Coturnix japonica: one gene and its partners. Each later gene encodes a partner of the first gene's protein in a complex. Links are inferred from orthologs where the notes say so. Each region holds a gene or a part of one and is shown on either strand. Other genes may lie near its edges. The genes, in order: CNOT11, CNOT10, CNOT7, CNOT2 and CNOT8.

What was found.
Region 2: CNOT11 (region 1) and CNOT10 share a complex: the UniProt entries of both Homo sapiens proteins name them as parts of the CCR4-NOT complex. The link is inferred for Coturnix japonica from reciprocal best matches to the Homo sapiens genes CNOT11 and CNOT10.
Region 3: CNOT11 (region 1) and CNOT7 share a complex: the UniProt entries of both Homo sapiens proteins name them as parts of the CCR4-NOT complex. The link is inferred for Coturnix japonica from reciprocal best matches to the Homo sapiens genes CNOT11 and CNOT7.
Region 4: CNOT11 (region 1) and CNOT2 share a complex: the UniProt entries of both Homo sapiens proteins name them as parts of the CCR4-NOT complex. The link is inferred for Coturnix japonica from reciprocal best matches to the Homo sapiens genes CNOT11 and CNOT2.
Region 5: CNOT11 (region 1) and CNOT8 share a complex: the UniProt entries of both Homo sapiens proteins name them as parts of the CCR4-NOT complex. The link is inferred for Coturnix japonica from reciprocal best matches to the Homo sapiens genes CNOT11 and CNOT8.

Annotation. Positions count from the first base shown.
Region 1 is NC_029516.1:120,253,669-120,257,808, forward strand, and holds the start of CNOT11 (CCR4-NOT transcription complex subunit 11), read left to right. Parts: upstream 1-1,327; 5' UTR 1,328-1,399; coding exon 1,400-1,811; intron 1,812-1,957; coding exon 1,958-2,122; intron 2,123-4,140. UniProt on the Homo sapiens protein: Component of the CCR4-NOT complex which is one of the major cellular mRNA deadenylases and is linked to various cellular processes including bulk mRNA degradation, miRNA-mediated repression, translational repression during translational initiation and general transcription regulation.
Region 2 is NC_029517.1:37,337,538-37,341,052, forward strand, and holds part of CNOT10 (CCR4-NOT transcription complex subunit 10), read left to right. Parts: intron 1-2,752; coding exon 2,753-2,866; intron 2,867-3,515. UniProt on the Homo sapiens protein: Component of the CCR4-NOT complex which is one of the major cellular mRNA deadenylases and is linked to various cellular processes including bulk mRNA degradation, miRNA-mediated repression, translational repression during translational initiation and general transcription regulation.
Region 3 is NC_029519.1:56,951,576-56,955,121, reverse strand, and holds the end of CNOT7 (CCR4-NOT transcription complex subunit 7), read right to left. Parts: intron 2,234-3,546; coding exon 2,105-2,233; 3' UTR 508-2,104; downstream 1-507. UniProt on the Homo sapiens protein: Has 3'-5' poly(A) exoribonuclease activity for synthetic poly(A) RNA substrate. Its function seems to be partially redundant with that of CNOT8.
Region 4 is NC_029516.1:32,460,861-32,464,375, forward strand, and holds part of CNOT2 (CCR4-NOT transcription complex subunit 2), read left to right. Parts: intron 1-34; coding exon 35-191; intron 192-3,515. UniProt on the Homo sapiens protein: Component of the CCR4-NOT complex which is one of the major cellular mRNA deadenylases and is linked to various cellular processes including bulk mRNA degradation, miRNA-mediated repression, translational repression during translational initiation and general transcription regulation.
Region 5 is NC_029528.1:5,997,968-6,001,954, reverse strand, and holds the start of CNOT8 (CCR4-NOT transcription complex subunit 8), read right to left. Parts: upstream 2,812-3,987; 5' UTR 2,720-2,811; exon of another isoform or gene 2,431-2,719; intron 2,055-2,430; 5' UTR 1,969-2,054; coding exon 1,852-1,968; intron 1,350-1,851; coding exon 1,156-1,349; intron 457-1,155; coding exon 295-456; intron 1-294. Other genes in the region: FAXDC2 (fatty acid hydroxylase domain-containing protein 2), read left to right, coding at 3,594-3,835, 3,921-3,987. UniProt on the Homo sapiens protein: Has 3'-5' poly(A) exoribonuclease activity for synthetic poly(A) RNA substrate. Its function seems to be partially redundant with that of CNOT7.

The DNA of each region.
Region 1 (4,140 bases):
CAACCCTCTGCTAACTCATATCCCTGAGCACCACATCCAAATGGCTCTTAAACACAACCAGGGATGGCGATTCAACCACCTCCCTGGGGAAAATAATAATAATGACTTGACATGGGCTGACACTTGAAAACTGCCTTAAAATACCCAAGTGTCACTACAGTTCACAGAAGCTCAAGAATTTATCACCAACCATGTTTGTTTCTGAATGACCATGGAACAGCACATATGAAGCCATTGTAAAATCGTATCTGGGGTGTTTTTACAAAATACATCCAAGAATCGCTTGACATCTTTGAGGTCTGATGAACAAGTGAAGCTCAGGAAGGCTTTTAGGCATTGTTAGCACGCCAATATTGTTGATTACTCCAGGAGTAATAAATCTGTTTCTGTTGTCTCATGGTAGGTTTTGAACTGAAGAGCTGAACTAGGAAAGATAACATGCAATGGTCACTAGAAAGCTGCATATGGAGAGGCTCACACGAAACCTAACTTCCCCAACCCTTTTAGATTTGTTGCTATTAAAAATACACTGTAGATGGGCAGGGTCACTTAAATTACTAAGGGAAGGAATCTGTGTACAAGAGAAAAGCCTTGTGAGAATAAACAAAACAATCTGGATGTGTTCTGATTTCCCCTTTGACTTCAAGGTGTGACTTAATTCCTTCCCATCGTGTTCTTCCCATGTGAAATGTGGGATAAAAATACACCAGTGGAAGTTATTTCCTAGCTGAAGGATTCAGCTTCTTCGCTAGAAGAAACTCAAACACTTGCTGTGAAGCAGGTCAATTTAATATCACTTCTTTGCCACCTTTTTCTTTCACCTCCCTCCTGCTGCCTATTTCTGTTGCTACCTGAGCAGAAGCACCACAGATCTACTTGAGAGTGGATGAGCACCCAGACAACTTGCACACACCAGAAGCACAAAATCCGCTGCTCAGTTTCAGGTCACAGAATCTCAGAATTGTAGGGGTTGGAAGGGACCACTAGAGGTCATGGAGTCCAACCCCCCTGCCAAAGCAGGCTCCCTACACCACGTCACACAGGTAGGCGTCCAGGCGGGTCTTGAATATCTCCAGAGAAGGAGACTCCACCACCTCCCTGGGCAGCCTGTTCCAGTGCTCCATCACCCTCACTGTAAAGAAGTTCGAACTTCCTATGCTGTACTTTCATCCCATTACCCCTAGTCCTATCAGATGACAGCACCACAGGGCGGTGTGCGTGGAACGCGCTGCGCTCCCCCTACTGGCCCCAACGCCCGTCGCGCTCCGTCCCCGCCCCGCCCCGCCAGTCCCGGCCCAATGTCCCGGCCCATCCCCTGCCGTGCCGTAAAGCGCGTCCGGCGCCTCAACGCTCGGCCTTCCGGTGTTGTGCAGCGGCGGGGCCGTGCGCCGTGAGGCGGATGCCCGGGGGCGGGGGCAGCCCGGCCGAGGCGGGCGGTGAGGCGGGAGGAGCGGGTGGCGGCGGTGGAGCGGCGGGCGGCAGGATGAGCCTGTCGCCGAAGGAGCTGACGAGCCTGCTGGGCATCGTGTCGGAGGAGGCGGGCGGCAGCACCTTCGAGGGCCTCTCCAGCGCCTTCCACCACTACTTCGGCAAGGCCGAGCATTTCCGCCTGGGCTCCGTGCTGGTGCTGCTGCTGCAGCAGCCCGACCTGCTGCCCAGCCCCGCGCAGCGCCTCACCGCCCTGTACCTGCTATGGGAGATGTACCGCACCGAGCCCCTCGCCGCAAACCCCTTCGCCGCTGTCTTCGCCCACCTGCTCAACCCCGCTCCCGAACGCGGCGGCGACGAGGCGGAGCGCACCCCGCTCTCAGGTGCCGGGAACGGCCGGGGCTGTGACAGCGGGAAGGGTCACTCGTTTTGCCGTAACGTTACTGTACGAGATGATCTCTCCACGCTTAAGGAGCACGCGGGGTAGTGATGGCCTCAGGAATCTTACCGCTCCCCTCTCTCCCCGCAGGCTTCTTGCCGCCCATAACCCCGCCCGAGAAGTTCTTCCTCTCGCAGCTGATGCTGGCCCCCCCCAGGGAGCTGTTCAAGAAGACCCCGCGCCAGATCGCTGCCATGGACGTTGGCAACATGGCCCAGTCGGTGGATATAAGCGGGCTACAGCTGGCATTGGCGGGTAAGGAGGAGATGTGGCTGTGCTGTGATAGGAGAGTGGTTAGGCCCTGGAACAGGCTGCCCAGGGAGGTTGTGGATGCCCCGTCCTTGGAGGTGTTCAAGACCAGGTTGGACGGGGCCCTGGGCAACCTGATCTAGTAAATGTGTATGTTTGGTGGCCCTGCCAGGCAGGGGGGTTGGAACTACATGATCCTTGAGGTCCCTTCCAACCCGGGTCATTCTGTGATTCTGTGAAATGTTAATTGCTGTTTGACTTTGAGGTGCTTCTGTCTGTGTGGCAAAAGTTGGACTGTGGTCAGGTTTTGCAGTGTTAGCTCACACTAAATGTTCTGCCTTTACTAGGCTATAAGGAACTCAGTGCTTATTCTTGGGCAGGAATAGGATTGTTCTGATCGTGTGGAGCAACAAGTTGCATCTAGAGCTGATCTGAAATGGAAAATATTGCTTAGAATGAGTTGCCAACTCGAGCAGTTTATTTCCTAGGTACTCTATTCTGCACAATACAGTACTTGGCTTCTAAACTTCAGTTCAGTTGGTGACGTACTGTAACAGGTTGCCCAAGGAGGCTGTGGATGCCCCATCCCTGCAGGCATTGAAGGCCAGGCTGGATGTGGCTCTGGGCAGCCTGGTCTGGTGGTTGGTGACCCTGCACATAGCAGGGGGTTGAAACCAGATGATCACTGTGGTCCTTTGCAACCCAGGCCTTTCTATGATTCTATGATTCACTGTGGTAACTTTTCTTGTAGGCTCTTCTATTGAATGTCAGTTGCTGGAATAGAGCGTCTTGATTCTCCAGATCAAGAGAGCCTGATAAAACATAAGTGATTGCATTCGTAGGAATTGTTTTCTTCAATTTGAACATACTGGTTCAAGTTGCTGTGTTCTCTTCTGAAATACAACCGTGTTCTAGCTAACAGCGCTCACCCCTTCCTTCTGCTTACACTGGGCTGCCCAGGGATGTGGTGGGGTCACCATCCCTGGAGATGTTCGGGAACATGTAAGAATGTATCTTAAACTTTTGTTCTAATTAAGCATCATTAGTCATTTGAGATGAGGGGATTTGAGGGTATACAACCAATCCATGACTTTATACCTATATAGGTGTAAGTTTTAGACTACGGATGACAATGAAGGACACCCAGTATGTCACCTTGTTTTCTTCTCAGAGAACTTCTTACGTTGACTCAGCTGATCCCTGTAGGAGCTGAATGGTAGAACTCACAAGCTGGAATTTCCAACAGCGTATAAAGTTTGAGCATATATTCCAGTGTTTTGCATGGGCTGACATAATTGGAAGATGGACATTTCTAGTATAAACTAGCAGTAGGCAGAGCTTTGTGTCTGTGTCCTTTTGTTACCTACAGGAGTTTTGCTGTAAGCGTCTCTCATGGATCTGAAATAGAGTTTCATACGGATGAGGAGCTGCAAAGGGTTATATGGCTGCACAAAAAAGTGTGCTTTGTTAAAAGAGATAAGGATGGGGTACTGAAGCTGAGGGCACTACACTTAATTAATCATCCGGATAAGAAATGGTGTTGATTTCGTGTGGGACCAGCAAATTTGGCCTTCAGATTACTTGAGACTTTATCTGCTACTTAATATCCTCCTTGGGAGGGGGAGGGAAGGAACATAAGATGGCATTGTATGGCAGGCTCTTGGCTTTCCTGCATGTTGTTGGGCTTTTGTTGGTTTGCTTTTACCAAGGTAATAGAAAACATGGTTCTCACTAATACAGAGAATATGGAAGGTCAGCCCTTAAGCCTTCAGGTATGGAAGAGCGAGAGACTGTGACAGAAGAACACCTAAAATTTGACAGTGCAAATATTGATTGGTTGTAATAGTTTATTTTACCACTCTTTCACGTCTTCAGCTTCATATGCTAAATTTAGTATTACTTCTATGTACCTTGTTTATGCTCTGTAATTTGGGCTTTAGAGGGATGCTCTTACAGGACTTTATAGCTGTAACTGTAGAATCCTGTATCAATTAAACTCCTATGCAAAAGCAGCTTACGTGGTG
Region 2 (3,515 bases), on another chromosome or scaffold:
TTTTGGTTTGTGTTGTCTGCATCGAAACAAAAAAAGCCAGGTGGTATATATCCACCACTGGGCCTAATTAGCTATTTAAAGTTATTTCAGATTAGTGATGTTTCTAACTGGTTTTGAGGTGCCATTTTTATGCCTTCCTGGTAAGTGGTGAAGGACTGGGTGATCTCTACTTTGCCTCTGCCCTGCGAAATGAGCTCAGCCAAATGTATCATTCAGGTTCTGTAAACTTGCAGCAAGTGTGGGCTGACAAATCTTGTTGCTTAGACCTACACAAGAGGTTGTTTGACATAATCTGGCGGTTTAAAAAAACATTTTTCTTTTTCCTAGTGCAAAGGCGGTTTTATTTCGGGAATGCAGGGGCTCAGTAATGCTGGAAGTCTCCAGAGCTTAAAGACGACCTGCAGAGTTTTGTCAGAATCCTGACTGGGGTGAAAAACTAGTTTGTCTTTTCCCTTGTGGTGCAATTCTTCTGCTCTGATTAGCTGTCAGGTCTCCTGAGTGTTCCGTTCGCTTTGGCTGCTTCAACAATGAGTCCAAGTGCGCGAGGACGGCATTGGAAGGAATGTTCAATGTTTTCCTCTTCTTTAGATGGCTTTTGCTGAAGAGGTCTTAAAGGGATTAGATGGGAACGAGTCCTTAGAACAGAGGGATAGGTTTCCAACTTGATGGGCTTATTGTTGTATGGCTGGAGCGTGCCTTTTGTTCGCATATAGACTTTCAAAATTAAAAATGGTTTTAAAGTTCTGGTGGGTAGAAGACCTGTATTGACTGAAAGGGCAGGAGCAGCAGTGCAAGGTGTTTGGCTGGTGGGACAGCATCTCTGCTTGTTTAAAAGTCTTGCTTCCTTGGGGCAGAGAAGAAAGAGTCTGCTTAGAGGCAGGCCATTATTTTGGGATTTCCCCCCCCCTTCCCCACAGTCACAACCTTTCAGAAATATTTTAGGTTTGGGACTTGAGTTGGGGAAGCTTTCCTCTCTTTCTTGAAAGCTTTTGTATGTGTTCAGATTTGATGTGACATCTGGGCACGCTAAGAGGAAGTGGGGGGTAGGGAGAAACACTGGAGAAGTTTCTCCCCCTGCTTGTGCATAATTAAGGAGCATGCCTCCTGGGAACGGGGAATAAAGGCACCCCAGGCCCTGCCACGAATTACATGACTTACTGCGGGACTCAAAGTGGGCTTGACAGTTGCCAGAAGGGCAGTGGGTAGCAGCCTCCTCCAGGCAGCAAGGCCGGCTGCCCTGGGTTGGGAGCGGGGCAGGAGGACTGGGAGCAAAATGGGGGCCCAGCAGAGAGAGGCCCATGCCCCAGGATGGGCTGACCCCACCAAGCGGTGCTGTGGCAGAGCCTGAGGAGCGGGGCCAGCCAGTACAACAGGAAGCTTGGCAGAACGGAGGCATCCCGATGTGGGACTGTTGTGTGAAGGTGGAGAATGGAAGTCATTTTTGTCACACAGACTGTTGTGTTTTGTGTGCTTTAAAAACAGGGAAGCCTGTTGCAGCCGTAGAATGCCACATCTGAAATCAGACTCCTGGCAGAGGAGGATTACAGCTCTGTGTAACACGGAACTGACAGTGCAGGATCCTCTGCTGTTTTATTGTCTCGCTGTGTACAGACGTTGTAAAATACAAGAACGAAATATGTTACAATTTAATTGACAGCTACAATATGTCTGTAGTTCCAGGTGATTTATAGCATTGTGTGCTACAGAAAACTGCTCTCCTTTTCTGAAGGAGGAGGGAGGGCAGAGAAGTGCAAGTGAAGATTCAAGGTTTAACAAATAAAATGAGGGTGGGAAAGTTCCTGAGACAAACAGTGCTTTGGTGAGGTCCCTCTGTTATGGAGAACAGTGTTCTGAGAAGTGTAGTGAAGCTGTGAGGGGTCTGGAGCACAAGTCTTATGGGGAGCGGCTGAGGGAGCTGGGGCTGTTCAGTCTGGAGAAGAGGAGGCTCAGGGGAGACCTGATGGCTCTCTACAGCTGCCTGAAAGGAGGCTGTGGTAAAACACAATGTGTGCATCTCCTGATTGAGAGAACACGATTGAGGCCATAGATGAACACCAGCTCCTTGACTTCCCTCTTTGCTGTGAGGATGATATTGAAGGCTGAGGATTTATTTCTTCAGCACTTAAAAACTGTCTTTCATTTTAATAAGCTGAGGTCTTTGTATTTTGTGCTAGTGAATAATTTGTTCCTTCAGGTACTACTTTTAGAATAAAACGTACTAAATCTAACAAAATCTTTTTTGTGTTTTTTTGCTGCTAAATTACAGAGAATTATCTGTTATTATTAGCTATTATCTAGAGATTATATTGTTCTTAGTTTTTCTAGGTACATATAGGACTTCGGTAATTACAAATATTTGCCCTTGAATGTACAATAACTTCAACTGAGAGATAAATATTTAATGTAGTGGTGTTGTATGGTTTTTAAAATGAATATGTAGGTATACATTTATATATGAGCATTCATTTGACATCTTCATATATGAGGCAAATAGTTTTTTATTGCTTTTATTACGTGTAAATGAAGTCTGAACTGTTGCTGTGTGAAAGTAAATCTCCAGAATTACTAAGAATGTAGTGATGAGCAGCATGCTCTTTGCTCCTGCTTCCAGTTCTTTTTGTACTCTGTGTAAGTAGTCTTCATCTGGATTTGCTGCACATCTATTAAGGAAGAAATTTCACAGCTGCATTTGAAATCACAGAATATTAACACATTGTTTTCCCCCTTTTCCCTTTTCCCTTTTCTCCTCCAGGTGCTCAATACTTGCCTGCAGTGCTTACGTGGCTCTGGCTCTGGGCGATAACCTTATGGCACTGAACCATGCAGATAAGCTCCTTCAGCAACCAAAGCTGTCCGGGTCTCTGAAGTAAGTTTGATGTCATTGTTCCTTTCTCTTTTCTGTTGGAGAGCCGTGAGCTGAAGCTTCTTGTGTCTGTAGTAACGATATTATTATGATGGTAGTAATTGTATTTGGCAAAACTGGCAACGTACGTGTGGAGAGCAATCTAACTCGTGCCAATTTTAACTGCTGGAGGCAGCATACTCTAGAAGGTTCTGTGTCAATTAATTTCTATGTCTCCCTTCAAACTATGGTAGAAGCTCATCCTTTAGCGAGGATTAAAGCTGGACTTCAGAGGAGTTTATAAGGTAATGTGTAGTTCAATGAAGGCAGTGTTCTTTTAATGCAAGAAATTCAAGTCAAGAGTTGTTTGCAAAGACAGAGCCCTGTATCTTGGTGCCAAGAAGCAAAGCCTCTGTGCAGGCTGGAGCACTGAGTTGTTCCTCTTAAGTGATGCATAGGTTAGTTACATGTAAGAAGTTTCTCTTGTTTTAACAGATCTCACTTGCACAAGTTCTTTTGAGTGATGCTTTTTAATAACTCATTACAGTTAATTTGAAATGTATGTTATACAATCACATGCTCAACTTTTGTTTCAGATTAAAGCTTAGTTAAACTAACAGTGCTCTCAGTCAACAGGGCTCCAAAGCTTCTGAGTAGCTGAGCTACTGCTGTG
Region 3 (3,546 bases), on another chromosome or scaffold:
TATTTGCCTCTATCAGCTATTAAAGCTGAAAACAAATGTATTGATTTCAGGGGTTCTTCATTCTGCGCATATACATAATTTTTAGTCAAACCTAAATACTAAAAGGCAGAATTTGATACCACTGTAAGAATGCATTGTGTCCTTCTGTCAGACAGTGCCCATCTTCTTGTTAAAGCCAAAGACAAACAAAGTTAAAAATAAGATAACACTCCCTTACCTAATGCATAATGATACCAACAGAAATCACCAGTGGAGTTTGGTCGCTTCAGAACTAAGCTGTAGTTACCACTCTAGCCATGCAGGTCAGTGGGAGTCAGTGCAAACAGAAGTCAGCTCTGGATGAGGCATCAATCAGCAAGCAGCAAACTGCATCACTTCCCAAACAGAGGAAGAGAATCATCATGTCCAAACAAAAGAGCAGTACAGTATTACTGTCTGTATCACACACTGTCTGTAACACATACATTCCAGGAGGAAAAATACAACTTCAACAAAACCACCAGTCTCTTGTTATGTAAGAAAACATTTTTTAGGCCTTTATTTACAAAAGCTTTAAAAACAAATACCCTCTGTTATGCAAATTATTTGTTGTTTAAAAAGGACCACCCAGTTACATCGTTGTAACCCAATGAAAAAGGTATTTGGTGCCATCTGTTATTCGTCTTTGCAGTACAAGGTAAACAGAAGAATTGGCGAACATCTGGAGTTTTTCTATGATTGATTTCCGAGTGGAACACGCACACCGCTACGCGCGCACGCACACCCAGGCACACAATGTCGCACTTTCCATCATTTCAGGCTCGGATTTAGCTATTCAATACCAAAAATGCCTCCTGCACAACTGCTCTGTACACATGGTAAGCAGAGATAAGAACGTATTTTAGGGTCCTTTAAAACAATATATCTAAAATATATTGCTACGATATACTCAAAAATAAACTAGCATTACAATCCTCAAGTAACTTTATTTGTTCTAAGTTATTTATATTTTGTTGTTTTACAACAAATATCTGTAACATCTGTCTTTGTAGCAACTACAAAAAAGCACAATTTAGTTGTCCTAATTCAGTTAAATAGGGTTGTTTTGTGTTTTTTTTCAGATCTTTGGGTTTTATCTTGAACTGAACTGACTTCCAAAAGTTGTCAAATCACCTACATAATAAATACGACTTCATAAAAAAATATTTGTTGTATATGTGTCACTAGAATAAAAGTTAATCAAGGGAAGTGCGCCATTACAAAATTCCTACTATTCCAATAGCCTTCAAATCTCAGCTTAATGGCAAAGGTGGTAAAGTCACAGCTGTTCTTTTCCTGAAGGGTTTAAAGCTGTCTTCTCAAGCTTCTTTCCCTCCTCACAGAGCGGATCTAAAGCAGCCAGCCAACCAGCAGTTGGCATGTGCAGGACGTGTTTGATGGCAGAACACTAGTAAAACAACAGCAGTTACTATGGTTTCAGTAGTTTGTTTTGCTTGAACGAATGCAGGTTATACAGCAAATGTCATGTTCTATGGGTTGAAATACCAAAAGATGCCAAAAATACAGTGTGAAGCTGCTGAACTTGGAGGATTATTGTTTCCTAGCTAAGGGCAGAAGGGAAAAAAAAAACTTCAAATGAAACAGAGGATTGAGTCAGAGTTGCTCTCTAAAGTGCAAATTTGATGGTCCACAATCTTGAATAGCTAAAACGCCTGCATACTGGAAGGAACAGACATGAACGGGGAAGTTAGTTACAATCAGCATGAGTTAATTTGGAGAAGGGAGGGGAAAGAGACAAAAAACCTAAGACCAAAGACCGATATAGGCAAGTTTACCATACTATTCATAATGATTTAGCTTTCCCCTTCTCTCTGCCACACTGATCCTACACAAGCTTCTTTACAAATGGGCTAGTTATGACTCCAAAAGTAACCCATAAAATTCTACATATCAATATCAAGATCAAAATCTGTGATAGGAACAGTCAGGTTTAATACATAGAAAGGCAGAAAAGAAAGTGTGCTGAGAAAGGGAGAAAAAAAGCCTTATTGTCCAAGGGGTTCAACCAGAGATAAAACGTATGTACAAGCATGTGGAGCTCAAAAAGACGGCCTTTCATTTCGTGTCATGACTGCTTGTTGGCTTCTTCTTCATAAGCATTTCCCGTGCCATTTTGTACATAAGATGACCCCGAACCAAGGCCATACAAGTGGCCACAATATTTGGCATCGTCAATGTGATCTTCAAAGAACATCTGAAGTGTTAAAAAGAAAAAGACACAAATTAATGCCACCAAAAACACCCAGTTTAAACAGAATGACAGAAAGGCTAAAAGACATTACACTGTTGGTTTTAGCACTGCATATCACATCCCAAGATTCAAATGACAGAATTAGCATAACAATGCATTTAATCTCAACACATGATCAAAATGTGCTATACAGTGCAATTGTTTAAAGGAAGGAATACAAACAGTCACCTGTGCACCTCACCTGCCAAAACGACCATGTTTTGGCAGTTTGGTATTACCTCCGTTATTACTTGCTTTTCTGAAAGCACAACAAAATATTTTCTCTGGCATATTTCTTTCTGCTTTCTCACAGCAGATGTATGTTTGGTATTCATTGCAAGTGCCCACAGTTTACCTGCTTATTGTTGTGGGGGTTCCATCACACCTTGTCTTAAAACAGATTTATACTACGTGGGTGTGAGGTGAGAATGAGGAGGTACGTGCTCAAGCACAGAAACTACTGAGTTCGGCAAATGTATCTTCCTGCATTTCTCAGCTACATCCTCTAAGAGGGCTTCATTTAACAATGAGCAGCAACATTAAAGGAAACTGCTTTTTTTTTTTTTTAACCAAGACTACATTTACATAAGACTTTAAAAGTCTTAATTATCAATAGAACCTTTCAGGTTCTGTACTGCAGGAATAATAAGCAGAGAGGAAAACCTCTAAACCACAGCTTGCTGTTCCAGCATCAATATTAACACATCTCTGATGGGAAGAAAAAGATCCAAATTTTTTGGCTGGGACTCGAACCAGCAAGTTGAAGTTCCAAAAGCAATTATTAACACTTATCAGCACTATTTTGTACGTTTAAAAACATTGTGAAACAACGTTTTTCACTCCAGCGTACATTGCTAAACATTGAACTCAACTGAAAAGGCTTTAGAAGTGCACTCTAAGTATATTTGCTGCTCTTGACTAGGATGTTCTTACTTCAAAATGTTGTATTTTAAAAGAAACCCTGAAAAAACAATCAATCTTTGTTGGCTTATTTAAACAAATGATTTGTACTAAAAGCTACATTTCTTTTCTCTGAGACAACAAACTCTTTAATAATAACATGCAATTTGTTACATGGCGATCATGGGTTTTGAAAGTCAGCACCTTGCACCTTAGGTATAATCAAATACCTTCCTTTATTTGCTTTAGATTTTGGTTCAAATACAAAAGATTGCAGTTAACAGCACCTGTGAAGATCACAGGTGGACCACATCATAAGCAACATCCTCTACGTAACCCATGACCAGCTCAACAACATCAACAGTTTCAGGAGAGGA
Region 4 (3,515 bases), about 88 Mb from region 1:
GAAAGAACAAAACTAATTTGTTCTTCTTGCCCAGGTCGGGTTACCAACATTCCTCAAGGGATGGTGACGGACCAGTTTGGAATGATTGGCTTGTTAACATTCATCAGGGCAGCAGAGACAGATCCAGGAATGGTACATCTTGCATTAGGAAGTGATTTAACAACACTAGGTCTCAATCTCAACTCTCCTGAGTAAGTTTCTGTCTTTTAGTACTGTCTTCAGTTTGGTTCTTATTATGCTGTCGTTGGTAATAATAGATTAACTTAGTTGACATAAGCATCAAACCCACAAGACATTTTGCCAAATAAAATTTGAAAACATAATGACAGTAAAACAAAACTTTCATAAACAAGGTAATTGTGCTTCAAGGGATACTGAGATTTGTTTTGCAAGCTTTCAGTAAGTCTCGTGGCTTTGCTTATTCTCCTACCTTCTTAGGACATTATTTAAGGAATTGACAGTGTGTTGTTAGTAGGCCTCAAATACGCATTATTTTTCTAATAATAGTATTCCTTGAAGGTAATTACGTATAGATATCACAGAAATCTGGGGGATAGGTACTAGTGCATTTACAGAGTTTACTCTGCAACAAAGTTGAAAATACAGTGTTCGAGTTAACGTCCATTCGTTTCACCTCAGTTTAGTCATCTAGGCTTCCTTTAGTGGCAGTGGATGGAAGAGTAAATAACAAGTTCTCAATGGTAAGAGAAGTTCTTAAGAATAGTAAGGTGAATCACCAGCCCAGAAAGCATCTTTTTCTGTACTTGTTACAGAAGGAATCTAGATTTTTCCCCAGTTTGGGGAGAAATGCCTATCTTCATGACTACAGCTGTCTGAGATAAGTTCAATTTCTGGTACTTCGGCAGCTAGGAATGTCCCATCGTGACTCTTCAATCATGAAGAATTTTATACCCTTCTCATTGAGGGAGGCACTGAGGGGGAACAACAGGCCTGTAGTTTATTTTAATCTGTAAAATACAGTTGATAGGAAGCATGCGTTGTCCTTATCCTTTGATACAATCTTACCATGTCCTGAATTTTTGCCTTATGTTATGTAAATGACTCTTCATCTTTCAGCAAAGAAAAACACAGAGGTTGACCTCAGTCACTTGCCTTACTTCTGTGGCACTTTGTATGTGGGGAAAAAATGAGATAAAGAGTTCTGATGCTTTTTATCAGAAGAGATTTATGTAATATTAACCTTACTGGCAGTTTTGTGCATGCATTTAAAATCGTTCATACAAAACATTAGCCAAACAAAGACCAAACAGTATATATGCTGACTTGCTGTTTGTCATAAATTTTATACAGAGCTGCACTCTGAATGTGTGAGTGCAGAGAAGATTTCTGAATGGGAGTATCAAGGTGAGAGGGAAATGGCAGGAAAAAGTAGCTCTTGATTTTTGCATCTTGAAATGATTGGTATTAATGTACGTATTTATTTCTCGAGGCATAACTTTATAGAAATAATCATTTCTAGAAAATATTTCTCTAATGTTTGCATCAAAACATAGTCAGGTTGTCGCATCATCAATGCTTTTAGAAATATTTCAAAACCACCCCCCAGACTCATCCTTCTGGTACAATTGCGTGTAGTTATTTGCTGAATGTGTTACTTGAGCACAGTATTTTCTTTGCTTGTGTTAGGCACACAGCTCCCTTCCTTATTGAATCTAGCAGTTCTTCACTCCCATCTCCTTCTCCCTCAGCATGCTGAGAATACATAAAGAACAGTTAAACCTATCACAGTTTGCTGCTTTTTCTCAGTAGTTTTAGATTTTTTAGCATTCACTGGGATATCTGCCTGATACTAAAGTTATTTACTTTTCTCAGTACAAATTGCTCAAAAGTAATTGGAGGATAATCAGCTTGAAAATAGAATGCCCTTGTACTCTAAATTATGTTATGAACATCTGAATCTTAATTCTTGAGCTTCCTCTGTTACTGTTCCTCAACACAGGTGAAATCTGGTTACATCATTTAGTTAAACAGCTGGCATGCAGACGTAGTAGGATAATACTTCTGGTAATTTCATTATTTGATGTTTTATACAACATTATGCGTTAGTTTTGATGCCTAAAATAAAACTTAACCTTTACCCACCTATTGAATAGTCTATAGGGAATTTGGAGCTAGGTGATCTTAAAGCCCCTTCCAACCATTCCATGATTTTCTGCTTTGGGATGACCTATAGCTGTACTATACAGCTCCCGAGTGTAACGTCCAGGTTAATACTGTGCATGCATACATAAACAATATATACATGTGACATACTGCTGCTTTTTTTCAGCAGATGTATGTTAAAGAGCAGGATTTTTAAAAACTTTTAACACATAATTACTGTATACTAGATATTTATGTGTTGGATGGAGGGGATAGGTTTAGTATTTAATCTATTCTGTGTCATAAAGTTGGTTTTATTTTATACTACAGAGCAGTTTAGCATAAAGCCTGTGCCACCCTTAATGTCTTGCCTTATGTTAAGCATCCTTTGCTTGATTTACAAATTGCCATTAGAAAAAAAAAAAAACAACAAAAAAACATTTTGCACTTGGGAAGCAGATTTCTTTTTCTGCCTTTTGAGGTGCTTCTGATATTAAAGTCGCTTATCCCATTTAAACACACAATAAATGTGCTTTTAAAAACACAATTTTAGAGTTCTGCCTATATCTTTATTTGAAGTAAACCTAATAACTCCTAGTTTTGTACTTCTTTTCTGCATAGATAGGTTAACACTTATTCTTAAATAATGATTATGTATTGCCTATACAGTCCCATATTTTCTTAAGACAGATGCTTTTCATGGAATCACAGAATGGCCTGAGTTGAAAAGGACCACAATAATAATCAAGTTTCAACCCCCCTACTATATGCAGGGTTGCCAACCACCAGACAAAGCTGCCCAGAGCCAAATTCAGCCTGGCCTTGAATGCCTCCAGGGATGGGGCATCCACAACCAATACCTCCTTGAAAAATGTTAAATTAGTAGCATTTTATTCATGTCATAAAGGAGACACTGTGGAAACCCCTGTTATTATTGCATTTAAGTGATGCAGTTGGAATCCTCTGTTCTTCACCTTAGGGCAGAAGGTCGCTAGGGCATGCATGATGTGGTGGAGTTGCAGGAAGCTCCTCTCCTTGGGCAATGACTGTCCAGGCTTTCAGTAGAAAGAATGTTTTAGTTATTTCCATCATCAGCAGATATTGCTACTGAAATCTTCCTGCAGGCTCTCTAGCACAGACTTTCGCTGTTACACTAAGATTAGTAACCTCGAGTGAGGCTGACACCATTTTGGCTGTGTAGGCTCTGTGGCTCAGCTGGAAGTTAGTTTTGTTGGGATAGCTGTGTAGGATTCAGATGCTTAGTAGCAACTATTAAGTCGTTGTCAAGAAGGGAACAAGGGTTGAAGAGGGTGTACCCTAATACAAGTAACATTTCCACAAAGTTCTGCATAGCGTCTTGACCTGGGTAATTGGAAGCGCACTGTAGTGCAGCTACCTGTGAAAGTGTTCTT
Region 5 (3,987 bases), on another chromosome or scaffold:
GTATCAGTGTTACATTCGTCTCATTAGGGTGTTTTTCTATACTTACAACCTTCTTTTCCATAGAGGAAGATAACAGCAAAACACGCACAAAATACAGATCACAGAAGGTGCTGAGATAAAATGAAGTACCAGTACTTAAAGTTCGCCTTTACAATTTAAAACTTATATTAAGAACTGCACAGCTGCTAAAATCCATCTCCTTAAGGTCTGTTAGTCTCTATGGTCCAAAGCAGCACTATTTAAGCCAAAAAGAGGCATCTTGTTCTGTAGTACCAGTAATCACCTCAGACCTACCTGTGAAACGACAGCCATTTCACGCTGTCACTAAGGACGACCCCTGAAGTCATGAGCAACTCAGCAAAATGCAGGGTATCAATCCCTTCTTCTTCATGCTTCTGGAACTGCAGCCCAGAGCTTGCAAGGAGGTCTATGGAATCCTGAGAGTACATATCCTCCCTGAAGGAGAAAAGCAGAGCTTTGCAGTCAGGGTGCTAACAAGGAAGGCTCATTGCCAAAAGATTTCTCACAAGTTGCATTTTGGAAAATCAGAGTGACCTGCAGGCAATCCATCTCTGAGCTCCATGGCTGTGTCTCTAGGAAGCTCAAATCACTTTTAATACCATTACTCCTATGCATTTAACAAGCTATTCTGCAATCTTAACCAAATATTAATTCTGTCGCTATTGCCAAACCTGAAGAATGCCATAAAACCTTCACACAACAGACATCTTGAAAAGTAACACTGAGGGAACAGAAGTGCCACAGATGATGGGAGAGAAGTCAACAAAACTCATATCAAACACGATAACTTTGAGTCACAGTGTCAATAAAACTCAAACCAAACATGATAACTTTGAGTCAAATAGCGTTCAGTGTCAAAACCTCTTTGTTATGACTCCAATGCTTTTAGGAGGCTGACAGTTGTGCAAGTAAACACTGCCACTTCTGTTTGCAAGAACTGCATGATCAGCTTATAGTAAGTATATAGTAAGTATACATGCATTTAATTGATTACATAAAATATATGGAAATGTATAAAAAGCACGTAAAGTTTGAGATCATAACATCATTCCAGAAATACTGCAATGCCTGTCATGCCGGCATTGAGCCTCACATAATCTCTTCTGGTGTTGCTCCCTAATGCAGAAGACTCACGTGAGGTTGAATTTGAAGTTAAACTGCCAGGTGTTGATCCCAGAAGGATACTCTCCTTTCTCGTTTGTGAAAGTCAGGCCCAGTTGGATGATTTTCAGAAGGTCCACATTACAGCGAAGAAGCTGATACTGATAGTCTATGGAACTGCGGAATTCCCCAATCGGCCTTACAACAACCCCAGGAAACTCCGTGTCCTAGAAAAGGAAGAGGAAACCTTATGGCTGCAAATCAAGGCAGACCCTAACGACAAAGCAAGCAATTTGTGCTCTCAAGTCAAATGACATCAATTGACTCAGAACACACAAAAACTTTCATAGAGGATCCAGCACATGAGAGAATTTTTGCCTTCACATCTTCCTGTACCCACTGCCTCAGCACAGCAATTACAACAGGCCAGAATGAGATGATATTGAAGCAAGGCAGCTCGTTTCCAATCAACATACAATATGAAATATGTAGATACACATTTACTGTTTACTTACACAACTTTGTTCTGCGCTGAATTCTATGCGCTCTGAAGGCACGTGTATTTTTACATCATGCTTTCATTACAAATTTCTCTCCTATCTTTGAGTTTAGCATCCCCACTCAAAGCTGTCATAACCACCACAGAATCATCGACTCTGGAAAAGATCTCTGGGTCCAACTATCGTTAGCCCCTATTCCTTGAATAAGACAAATGAGTCAAGCATTTACCATTGCGATGTAGCTGTAACTCAGCACAATCTCTCGGATTTTCCTCATCTCCTCCTCCAGGTTGTTGGCCCACACCTCACAGATCACCTGGCTGTTCTCCGCCAGGGCTGCTGGCATCCTGCCGGGCACAGGGCACAGCCAGCTCCCCCCAATCCTTCAGATGGCCGCGTTACAACCGAAAGCTGCGAGATCTAATCAGTGTGCTGCAAGAAACAGACAGAACGGAGCTATGAGTGAAAAAAGAGCTAGAAAAAAGGAACGAGCTGCACAATACAGCACAATACAGCACAGTACGGCACAGCACAGCACAGTACGGCACAGTACGGCACAATACGGCACAACACGGCACAATATGGCACAGTACGGCACAATATGGCACAGTACGGCACAATATGGCACAGTACGGCACAATATGGCACAGTACGGCACAATATGGCACAGTACGGCACAATATAGCACAATACGGCACAATATAGCACAATATAGCACAGTACGGCACAATATGGCACAGTACAGCACAACACGGCACAATACGGCACAGTACGGCACAATATGGCACAGTACGGCACAATACGGCACATCATCACCACCATCGGCCTCCCCGAGGCAGCCGCCAACAAACAACGGCCCAGCGCCGCCCCAGGCCCGGTTGAGGCCTACACGACCCGCGCCGCCTCAGGGCAGGGGCCCACCCGGACACGGCCGCCACCGCCGCCCTCCACCGCACCGCGAGAGGCCCCGCACCTACCGGGACCTACCGGGACCCGCTGGGACCCTCCGTGCCTCCCTTTCCCGTCCCGTCCCGCCCCGCTCTCCCGCTGCTCCGCTCCCCATCTCCTTCCCCTCCCCCAGGCGCTACCTGCCCTACCCGGAAGTTGTGGCCGTGCCTCTCTCTCTCTCTTCAGCGCATGCGCGATGACGCCTCAGGCTGAGGTGGGATTTCCGGGTTTGGAGCTTTGTTCTCGCGAGATTTCCGGTACAGCCTCAGCGGCGCGCGGTGCGGTGTGTGGTGGCGCGCGCTTGGTGCGCGCTCCCGCGGAGGGGGAACGGGGAAAGCTGCGCATGCGCAGTGCTGGTGTCCTTGTGTGTCCGGCCGTGACGTGGCGCTGCGCTGTGACCCGGTGTATAAAGCAAAGCAAGGCATCCTTTAATCTTAAAGGCTGTAAATCCCTCAGATAGAAGCTATATCTGAACTGAACGGGGGTTAAAATGAACGCTGACATTGCACAGTTCACTCTTATCGCCTGCTTTAGCATATTAGATGAATTATGTCACCAGAGCGAGCCTAAATAACATGCAAATAACCCAAATAACTGGGCAACCTGTATATGGGGTAAGTGGTGCAGATTGGGGCCATATCTGCATCAAGTTACACCTCGCAGTGCTGTAATTACAGGCGTTGTGGTCTATAAGTGCATTGAAACACCACTGAGCACAACCACATCGGAACCTGTTTGCATCTCATCCCATAGACAGGACCTATAGACGGAGCTTTGATGCAGGGACAGCTGGTGCAGGTTATATATGTAGTGAGATGTGCTGCTGGCTTTACAGACTGCCCCGTAACTCACACGCATTGCACAAATGCGCCTTTGAGCCATTCGGTTGCATTGGCATCAGCTGCTTTGTGCTGAAAACACTAGTTAGTTTCTGGTAGAAATGACTTATCGTTAAGGTATAGCTGCCTTTTTTATTCACATATACAGCCATTCAACCCTGATGACAAACTCCTACCTACAGAGATGTATTCTGAGCACTGGGCTGAGTGGCAACAGGGAGCAGTGCCAGCACTAACAGTGACACGGTGCTGGCTTCACATGACTTGTCTGGGAGGGGACAGCCAACTCCTGCTTGGAAACACCCCGCTGTTAAACCCTCATAAAGTCTCCCCAGCAGTAGTGAAAGGTGAGGAGTTGTACTGTGTACAAAGGACCTCTACTGGGCTACAGCCAGCAGGAGGTGAGCAAAGAGACGGAGCTCAAAGGTATCGTGGCTTAAAAATACCCGATTGAAACCTTAGAAATAACTAAAGGGCAATGTCCTGTGTATGTTTAAAATACAACTGTAAGCTTTTCCAGGAGCTGTAATTGCCTTCTGAGCTATGCAGGGCTTGGCACAATAGGGGAGCCACCAGAC